Linked DNA regions of Drosophila melanogaster. The protein of the gene in region 2 interacts with the protein of the main gene of each other region in a pairwise test. Each region holds a gene or a part of one and is shown on either strand. Other genes may lie near its edges. The genes, in order: CG10274 and Tsp42Ec.

What was found.
Region 1: the proteins of Tsp42Ec (region 2) and CG10274 interact in a two-hybrid assay, tested with the Drosophila melanogaster proteins (one large-scale study listed by BioGRID).

The regions. Positions count from the first base shown.
Region 1 is NT_037436.4:6,178,060-6,183,644, reverse strand, and holds CG10274 (uncharacterized protein), read left to right. Parts: upstream 1-1,815; 5' UTR 1,816-1,877; coding exon 1,878-2,796; intron 2,797-2,850; coding exon 2,851-3,464; intron 3,465-3,529; coding exon 3,530-4,588; 3' UTR 4,589-4,968; downstream 4,969-5,585. Other genes in the region: D19B, read left to right, coding at 1-1,228; CG7376 (uncharacterized protein), read right to left, coding at 5,001-5,163, 5,220-5,380, 5,438-5,585.
Region 2 is NT_033778.4:7,004,652-7,009,251, reverse strand, and holds Tsp42Ec (tetraspanin 42Ec), read right to left. Parts: upstream 2,811-4,600; 5' UTR 2,680-2,810; coding exon 2,620-2,679; intron 1,527-2,619; coding exon 1,335-1,526; intron 1,272-1,334; coding exon 825-1,271; 3' UTR 630-824; downstream 1-629. Other genes in the region: CG30160 (uncharacterized protein), read right to left, coding at 3,230-3,481, 3,554-3,718, 3,783-4,034.

The DNA.
Region 1 (5,585 bases), on a different chromosome or scaffold from region 2:
GTACAAGCACACGGGCGAGGAGCTGCCCTTCGCATGTGAAATTTGCGGCAAGCGCTTCCCCATCAATAGTGTGCTGCGCGACCATCTGCTGCGCCATGCGGGCATCAAGAACCATGTGTGCCCGTACTGCGGAGTGGGCAAGACGACGCGCCAGGAGTGGAACAAGCACATCCTTACCCACACGAAGGAGAAGAAGTACGAGTGCCGGCAGTGCGACCACGCCTCCCACAACAAACAGGCGCTGGCCAACCACGTGAAGGTGGTGCACGAGAAGCGCAAGGACTTTGCCTGCCAGTACTGCGGAAAGACCTTTGGCAAGTCGCACGCCTGCAAGATTCACGAGAGAAGTCATACCGGCGAAAAGTGCTGCGAGTGCAAGATCTGCGGCAAGGTGTTCCTCTTCGAGAAGGGCCTAACCAAGCATTTGAAGACGCACGAGAAGCGTGATTTGCCCAAGACGCAGGGGACCAATGCCTTAATGGGCGACGGGGCCAGTGGATCCTCGACAATAGCCAAGCCCAGTCCGCACCTGCGTGGTCGCGTCGAGCGGGTGGACATTGCTCAGTTGGCGGGAACGGTGGCCAATCCAATTCCATCGGTCAACCTGCCCTCGTGGTCGCCGCAAGTGAACTTCACCAAGAAGGAGGGCCAGCATATCTGCCCGGACTGCGGCAAGGGCTTCAATCACGTGAGCAACATGAAGCTGCACTACAAGGTGGTGCATCAAAAGGTCAAAGACTTCTGCTGCCGCTTCTGCCCGAAGAGATTCGCCAAGAAGCAGTACCTGCGGCACCACGAGTACATACACACTGGCGAAAAGCCTTACGAGTGCAAGGTGTGCGGCAAGCATTTCCGGCAGGAGCAGGTGCTCAAGACGCATATGAAGGTGCACGACAAGCCGCCCCGTCCGCCTGGCAAGCCCAAGGAGCCGGCTGGACCCAAGGCGGAGTCCAGCACCGCGGTGAAGCGCCAGCAGCCGAAGAATTTCGAGCAATACCAGGATCCGGCGGCGGAAAGGGCAGCGGCCACCGCCGAGCTGCTGGCCTACCAGATCGAGGAGAACGAGGCCAAGCGCAAGGCGGAGGCGGAGCTCCGGAAGATCCAGGAGGCTGCCTTCGAGCAGCTAAACAAGCTGCAGAAGCAGTCGAACACTTACGACGGCTTCTACGCGCAGAAGGCGGAGGCGGAGGGCACCTCAGTGGACGCACTGAAGTTGGATCATGTTTGAGCGGCAGAATCAAACGGAAATGCTTGCGAGCAAACCCGGCCTCCGTTTCCGATCATTTCATTATGTGTTTCTATGAAGGACATATGAGTTATAGTTCTCTAAGGATTACCAACTAGTTTTCGTCACTTTGCAATTTGATCTTTTTTGTATTTAAATCCCCCCTTTAAACTGCTTAAGTTTGTACTTTACTAATTGTATTCATTTAACAATGATTTAATATAATAAACAGTAATAAGTATTGAACATTTGAATTTTAAATTCGCCCCAGTGCTGGTAAGCGGGTATTGTTGGTAAACAAGACAGAGGTGAGCTGTAATGCTGCCAACTCGTCTGTTTTTTAGCTACATTCCACTAGCTATGCAACTTATATGAGACACATATAAAACTACGTATTTAATTTAGGTTAATACATACATTTATTAAGAATCACACTTAAAATGGCACATATTTTTTAAAACATTTGAAATTTGTTATTGATGCTATCCATATTTCTAGCCGGTTTAATAATTTAGCTATTAAATAACTGTTTGTACTTGGCATCACTGTGGGGTATTTTTTGGTATTTGTTTTGGTTCGTCTGACGCGTAAAGTTTTTCTCGGCTTAATATTCCGCGGATTTGGCCAGCAGATTCCCCCTGGAACAGGCATCATGCAGGAGGAGGCCGAGGCAGCCCAGTACTCGGTGCACGCGGTGTGCCGCATCTGCCTGAATCGCCTGCCGGAGAATGGCGGCGGCGCAGGATCCTTTGACCTGTTCCTGATACCCGGATTGGCCAAGAAACTGTGTGTCTGCACTTCGCTGGCCGTGGAGCAGTCGGATGGCTTCCCCAAGTGTCTGTGCGCGCAATGCTTCAGCCGGCTGGACGATATGCACGAGTTCCAAAAGCTGTGCGTGGACTCGGTGCAAAAGTTCCAGGACATGGTGGCCAGGAACGTCTTTTGCCCGCCAGCGAGTGCGCAGATGAAAAACTTTGATTTGCTCAACGTGGCGGGGAACGAGCCTGAGCTGGTGGGGCAGGACGAGGAGGATCGTATCAACTTCGATCCGCTACTGGATCACAAAATGGAGATGATCGAGAACGAGGAGGATGTGTTCAAGATGTTGGAGCACGTGGACAAGGAGGCCGAGCAGGTGGAGAAGGAAGTGAAGCAAGATGAATTGGACGCCGCCGATCTGATGACCATCTTTGCCGCGGAATCCTCGGAGGAGAGCGAAGAAGATATTGACCAAGATGTGGACTTTGAGCCCAACAGTAGCGATGGTGACGATGATGTGCCTTTGGCCCAGCGCTTACGGGATAATTCGCGGATGATACCAAAAGCAAAGGCAGCCGTAATTAAGGAAGAGGACCAAGAGTTCCCAACAGGCTCCGAAGAGGAGGACGAGGACGGAGAAAAGTCAAAGAGTCGACGCAAGAGGATTCCGCCTGGCGAACGGCACCTGCACCGCATCATTGACTGCCACATTTGTCACCAAAAGTTCAAGAAGGCCATCCGCTACGAAGAGCACATGAAGCACCACAACGACCTGCTGCCCTTCCAGTGCAAAGTGGAAACCTGCAGGAAAGGTGTGTAATGATGGCTCCAAATCGCATTCTCGTTTTGATCACTGGCATTTACAGGTTTCACCACCGCTGGAGGATTACGACTTCACATCGACCACGCCCACACGGAGCTATCCGAGGTGCACTCCTGCAATGTCGATGGCTGCGGCAAGACCTTTCCGCGCATACGCCTGCTCACCTTTCACATGAAGAAGATGCACGGCATCACCAAGGCAGCGGCGCCCCCACGGGATTACCCTTGCACCGAGTGCGAGAAGGTATTCCGCTGTCCCATGGCGCTCAAGAAGCACATGTACAAGCACGACGGCAAGGAGTTGCCTTTCCCCTGTAACATCTGTGGCAAAAGGTTCGTAATCAATAGTGCTCTAAAGGATCATCTGATGCGGCATGCGGGCATTAAGAACTACGTGTGTCCGTACTGTGGCGTGGGAAAAACCACCAGGCAGGAATGGAACACACACATACTGACGCATACCCAGGAGAAGAAGTTCAAGTGCCACATATGCGAGCACGCATCGCACAATAAGCAGAGCCTGGCCAACCACATTAAGATCGTGCACGAGAAGATCAAAAACTATGCGTGTCAATACTGTGGAAAGACCTTTGGCAAGTCACACGCCTGCAAGATCCACGAGATGACGCACACGGGGGAAAAGCGCTGTGAGTGCAAGGTAAGGGTAGAAAGATATTTTAAGCCAGCGTCGTCATTGCAACGTTTTGTTTTTAATATTCTTAGGTTTGTGGAAAGAAGTTTCTCTATCCTAAGAGTCTGACCAAGCACTTGAAGACTCATGAGAAGCGTGTGCTTCGTGCTATTGAGACCTACCGCCAGCGGCAGGTGGAAATGGGCGAGACGCCTGGTGAACAGTTCGACAATCCACCCGCGCCACCAGTTGAGGGCATATCCATTGAGCCGATCATGTCCCGAAACGCTGCCGACGAATTGCTTAAGGTGTGCGCCGAATCCGTGGCCACCATTCCCAAAGATCCACGCCGTGTACAACGAGTGGATCTGGCGCAGTTGGCTGGCACTGCTGTGAACCCCATACCCTCTGTTTCAGTGCCGTCGTGGTCGCCGCAGGTGAACTTTACCAAGAAGGAGGGCAAACATATCTGCCCCGGTTGTGGTCAGGGATTCAACAATATCGGAAACATGAAGCGGCACTATAAGATCATCCACGAAAAGGTCAAAGATTTTGCCTGCCGCTTTTGCCCCAAAAGATTCGCAAAGGCTCAAACGTTGAGGCATCACGAGTGGATTCATACGGGCGAGAAACCCTTTGAGTGCAAGACCTGCGGCACCCATTTCCGCCAGGAGACGGCGCTGAAGCGCCACCAGCGCACCCACGAGAACCGTCCACCCGTCATTTCGCCCAAGTTTTATGCCGCTCGCGAGGAGCTGGAAGAGCAGGAACGCAGCAAGCGAGAGGCGAAGCGCCAGGCGGATGCGAAGCGGCGCGAAATTGCGGAGGCGGCCAAGGAGCAGCTATCGTCGCTGCACAAGCTTGAAAGTAGTGACCGCAGCCTGCACTCCTACGATGAGTACCAGGAGGCAGCGGCGGAGCGAGCAGCGGCATCCGCTGAACTCCAGGCGCAGCAGTTTGAAGAGAACGAAGTAAAGCGACTGGCGGAGGAGGAGCGCCGCAAGGTTCAGGAGGCTGCCTACGAGCAACTGCAACTGTTGCAGCATCAGCAGGAGGTTGACAAGGCGCAAAGCTCCTACGATGGCTACTACGCTCAAAAAGCACATGCCGATGGCACCACTTTGGATGCTTTAAAAATCGATCATGTCTGAGATTTGGCCAGCGTTTAACGCTGTCACAGATGGTAAATCAATCCTGGGTTTTTTTTATGAAAAGCAATACCTTATAATCCTTATGAGAACAGTGTGTGTAAGATGGATATGATATAGTTTTAAGCTGAAAATATTCTTTAATACTATTTAATATAATGTCCTTAACTGTAGTACAAATAATACTGTACATTATTCAGGAGAACACAGAATACCTATGTGAATTCGACTTAAGTTTAATGATTCTGGTCTGAATGGAGAGGTTGCATGTCAAATATCATCTTTTCAATAGATGAATTGATTGTGGCAGTTATATATTTATATATAAAGATTGTTTATAAGTAGCTTAAAAAATAAATTTGCCCTATTAAGAGCTTAAATCTAATCGGAATTTTTTGTTTTAAATTCATAAGTTTTACTCCTCCTTGAGTATGAATAGCTTCTTAAGGCTGTCTAGTGTCATGTTCTCCAGATCCCAGTGGGTCGACAGCGTAGTCGTGTCATCGGCTGAAGTAATTAGCGATAGAATATTCTCCTCAATCGTTTCATTCACAATGAAACGATGCACCTTCGTGGGTCTAAAAACAATTGTATTGAAACTGACAGCAACTTCACTTCAATAGCGCGCACTCACCTCTTTTGCCCAAATCGGTGAATACGACCTATGGCCTGGCGCTCGTCTCCCGGATTTAGAATGGGTTCGACGAGGAAAACATGTGTGGCTTCGATCAGGTTCAAACCCTTTGAGCCTTTGGACAGTGGCATTAGTAGACAGGTAACATTGCTCAACGGATTCTAAAGGAGGAAAAATGTTTAGCAGTGATAAATTAAATTTAACAGCAAGATAAAAACCTTGAAATCATCAAAGTCCTTATTTGTGCACTTATTGCGGAATTGAATGCCGTTGAGACTGAGCGCTCTGGCAATTTCAATGAGAATCGCCTGCCATTGAGAGAATACAATAATCTTTTCCTGTTCATTTTCACCCTTAATTTTCAGC
Region 2 (4,600 bases):
CTATTTTAAAGCCGGCGTAAATCCAGTAATATGCATATTAAAGCTGTGTGAATATCAGTTGGATAAATCAATCACAAGTTGAACTCTTGCACCTTGGATTCGTTAATCATTTGTCAATGATTTAGTCAGGGTTACAAAGCTATTATTAATAATAATAATATAATAATATAATAATATTATTTGATTTCGTCTTGGATTGGCTAATTCTCTTTGAAATTAGTATTAGTAGCATTATCTAGTCACAATTGAAATTTCTATTTGAAAGTTGAGAATGTCACATAATAAATTGGAGAAATTGTTAAATGTTACTTAGTTGGAGCGATTGGAATTTTTTGGATATGTTCCAAATGTTAATAAGGGAAATTTAATGTTATCACATTCAGGTCAATGTTATTGTCTTAACATATGCGTAACATAACAGCAATTCTCCAAAATTTTCCAACTTATGGAAAACATTAGGGCAATCAAAAAAAAAAAAAAAAAACAGCCTAAGTGTATGCCTCAAATACTGCACATTCTGTAGGAAAACATAGATGAACAAATATACTCTTTAGAAGTTTTAAGCCAGTTAGAAAAATCATAATTGGTAAAATAACCCATTTATCCTTATAAGAAAGACGAGTAATGGTAAATGTTGTAGCGGTATATATTAATATTGGCATTGCTCCAAAAAGAGTATAAAGAATAACATAAGTAGTAACTGATAAATAGGCGAAATGTAGACGTATATATTAATATTGGCACGGCTCGAAAAACAGTTTGTTATATGGTAACATAAGTAGACATATGTAGATCCTTTGGCCTTTGGCTTGTTCCTCACAAGTTTAGGCGTACACCTGGCGACCTGCGTTCTGGCTGCGCATGCAGTTGGTCAGGGCGCCGGCGATGAGGAAGACGACCAGGTCGAAGATGCAGAGGCCGAGGCCGGACCAGCGGATGATGTCCATGTTGTCGTTCCAGAACTCCTCGAACTTGGCGCTGCAGCCGGGCCTCGACTGGTAGACCGAGGGGGTGTTGCATGTGGCCTGGCGGTCCAGGTAGCCGCAGCAGGTTCCGGGAACCGAAAGGCCGATGTTGTTGTAGTTGGTATAGCTCGTATCACCGCAGCAGCCGAAGGTTTCCTCAAGAACGCCCATGGCAGTGTAGTCATGGGAGTCCCAGAGCAAGTTAACCAGATTGGACATATCGCCCAGGAAGGCAGATCGGTTCACGAACACCCAGCACGTAAGCACCAGTTGCAGGATAAAGAGCACAAAAACCATGCTGGTGTACTGCAAAGCATTCAACTTCAATTAGCTCGAATTCCTTGGGATATGCTCTTCACGCAAACTTACCGCGCCGGTCATGCAGACACTCTGCCGAAAAATGCCGTAGCACCCGAAGAAGGACACCACGAAGATGAGGCCTCCCAGGACGGTGACGCAGATGGGGATGGTGTTCGGGTCCGTCCCACTCCCCGCGACATCGAAGCGGCTCAGATCGGACAGCATGATCGAGCCCAACACGATCAGTAGGATGCCAACGATCTGGAAGTATTCGGAGTATTACTAGAAGGCATCTCTGGTTGCCTAACAGTTTTATGGTCATAAGCATACCACATTATAATGAATGTTTTATGGACTTCTAATTATCCGGGAATATCTATGTACTGAAAACTTGTCCGCAAACTGGACTAAGATATGAGCTTTTAAAATAGCCTTCAGGATGTCGGTGACCAAGATTTACTTAAATTTCTTCATTTGATTCTTTAAGTTGACAAAGTGATTAACAAAGTGAATAATCAAGTCTTATACTTGCATACAAATTAATGAAATTCACAATCAGACGGATATGGCTAGTTTAAAAACGTAGCTGATAAAAAAAACAAACGTTAATCACCTTTATCTTGTTTTTGGCATAATTCTTAAGGTGAAAAATGTATCTTTTAGCTGCGTTAATACTGCGAGTAACTACACATTTATTTGGATAAATAATAAATCATTTGTAAATAATAGTTTGTTGTATTTCCTTAGTTTATTCTCTAAATGATCTTTTATTCACTCCAACTTAGCCTTGCTAAAATGTGAACTTGTGTGCATGTGTGCCCCCTTTGAAGCTCATTTTGGGCTCATTACTTATATTACAAAACACTGATAATGTCAATCAACTGATAAAATTCTGTATGTCCGTCCACACTTGCATTACAGATAGATATTATTATCTATGCCAGCACATTTATATGAATAATAGTGTTAAACCTTGTGACTCAAAGACAATCGAAAGGAAGCGACCGATGCGTAATTTATGGATTTTCAAATTTCATTTCACTTGTTTTAAATAATACATGTTCGATATTTGTTGCACAAATATTTATTGCATATGACTTGATTAATGAATGACAGAAGTCAGCTAGAAGGTCTTATATGCAAATAAATAAACATCTACAGTTTGATAAATAAATTAACATAATTAATGGACATTTTTTGGAAGTTCATTATAACACAAGTAATTGGAGAGTATGAAGTTATCCATAATTGGAACCTATTTGGGATCTGCACCCAGTAGTGTTTGGTCTATTGTTACACGTCTCATTACATTATTAATTCCTTTTACTTAGATACTCAACCGACAAGCACTTACCAAAAACACGATATTGACAATATATAAAATAAAGTTGACTATTCCCGATAGACAACCCATTTTGAAAGTATATAGTTTGCTCCTGTATTTAGTAGAATTAAATAAACACTATTGTTTTATCCAAAGGAGTTGTCGGTGTCTCTGATTTTATCGCGCACTCGCGTCGTTTACTGTCGTTCGATTGGACTGCTCCTCCAGATGGGCTACTGTTTTTAAATTGGCCAACAGACACGGGCGCTATCGGAGGAAAGATACGCAAGTGCCTGTTATCATAATCATGGCCGAAACGAAAAATAGATAATGGGCACTGGGCGGCGGGCGGAGATCGATAGCCATTGCCATATGGAGGTGATTCACCACTACTGAGGGCATTCGATCTCGGAAACGCGGCACTCGGCTAACAGGCCGATAAGGACATACTTTTTGGAAAAACATCAACCTGTCTTGATTAGATAGACGGCAGCCAGAGGTAGACAGCGAATAAGCAATAATATTTCATTGGGCTTAACCTATTCTGGTTTATTTACGGTGAGTGAGTGAGTGAGGAATTCGTGTGTTGGATTTATGCTATGAACTGGGCTACGTCTAAGGATTGTATCTGACTTCGGCTCTAGCGCTTCCTCATCGCGCTGGCCAGGCAGCACGACATGATGAAGATGCCCAGCTCGAAGAGGGCGATGATCAGACTGCTCCATCGAATCAGGTCCGTATTGGAGGCCCAGAAATCGACGAACTCCTGCCGGCAGCCAGGTCGCTGGCTGTAGATCTCCGCTTCGCACACCTTGGTGCGATCCTTGTAGCCGCAGCAGGAGCTGGGCACGGTTTCATACTGTTGGTATCCCGTGTTGCCACAGCAAGAGAACTGCAATGGAATAGATACGTAAATATCCGGAAAAAACTAATGACATCTGATGGTGAATTTCGATAAACTTACGGCCAACTGGAGGGCATCCATGGGGTATCCCTGGGCGGCATTGTTCTCATCCCACGCCTTGTCCACTGCCTTGCCCATGCTGGACAGGAACTTGTCGTTGGCCGCGAAGATCCAGATGGAGAGGGCCAGTTGCAGGCCGAACAGAATCAGCATGCAGATGGCGTACTGAAAGGAATGCCAAGTCATTTAGAATCCAATTTCGGTCAGTGGGTGATTTCCGAGTGCTTACGATGGTGGTGCAGCAGGCGTTCTCGCGAATGGTGCCGCAGCATCCGAAGAAGGCCACTACGAAGGTGACACTTCCGATGACGATAATGCAGATCGGGATGGTCTGGGTGTTAACGCCTCCGTCGAAGGCCGTAAAGTTGCCCATCGTGGAGAGCATGATGGAGCCCACCACAATGAGCAGGATGCCACCGGCCACGAACACCAGGTTGAGCAAGTACAGCAGGTACTTGAACATCGCGGATAGACAGTTCATGGTGCTGGGTTCTGTTCGGGTTTCTCGTTGGCTAGCTGGATAATCCGTTCGTTCGATGTGACGATGTTCGTCTAACTGAATGGGCCCTCGGACAGAACGCGGCTATTAAAGCTTACTCGGAGTCCTCATCTTATCGGCTGCGCTCTTATCTCGGCCATAAAATTCCGTATGTACTTGTGCTGGAAGCTCCGATGCCCATGTACTTGTACTTGGTGAATCGCTTTGCACCCACGAGATACCAGATCATTGTGGTGGTCCGAACCTGGGAAATTACATCCTTGGCGCAATGATTCATTCAACGAATGGTAGGTGCAAACTGCTGGTGGCGGAATTTTATCTAGCCCTCGTGCGATTCCATCTTGGGGGCGTTAGATCGTTCATAAGATGAATCATTCACACCCTCCACACCTTGCCTTATCACCAGTCAAGAGTACGCGGTGCACGCTGACTCACATATTACGTTGCTTGGAGTCCGTTTCCCCGTGAGTCCCCGATCTTATCGCCTAGATTTATGTACTATCAATCGAGCAATAAACCTTTTAGCGAGTGCACTCCCAGCCTAACTT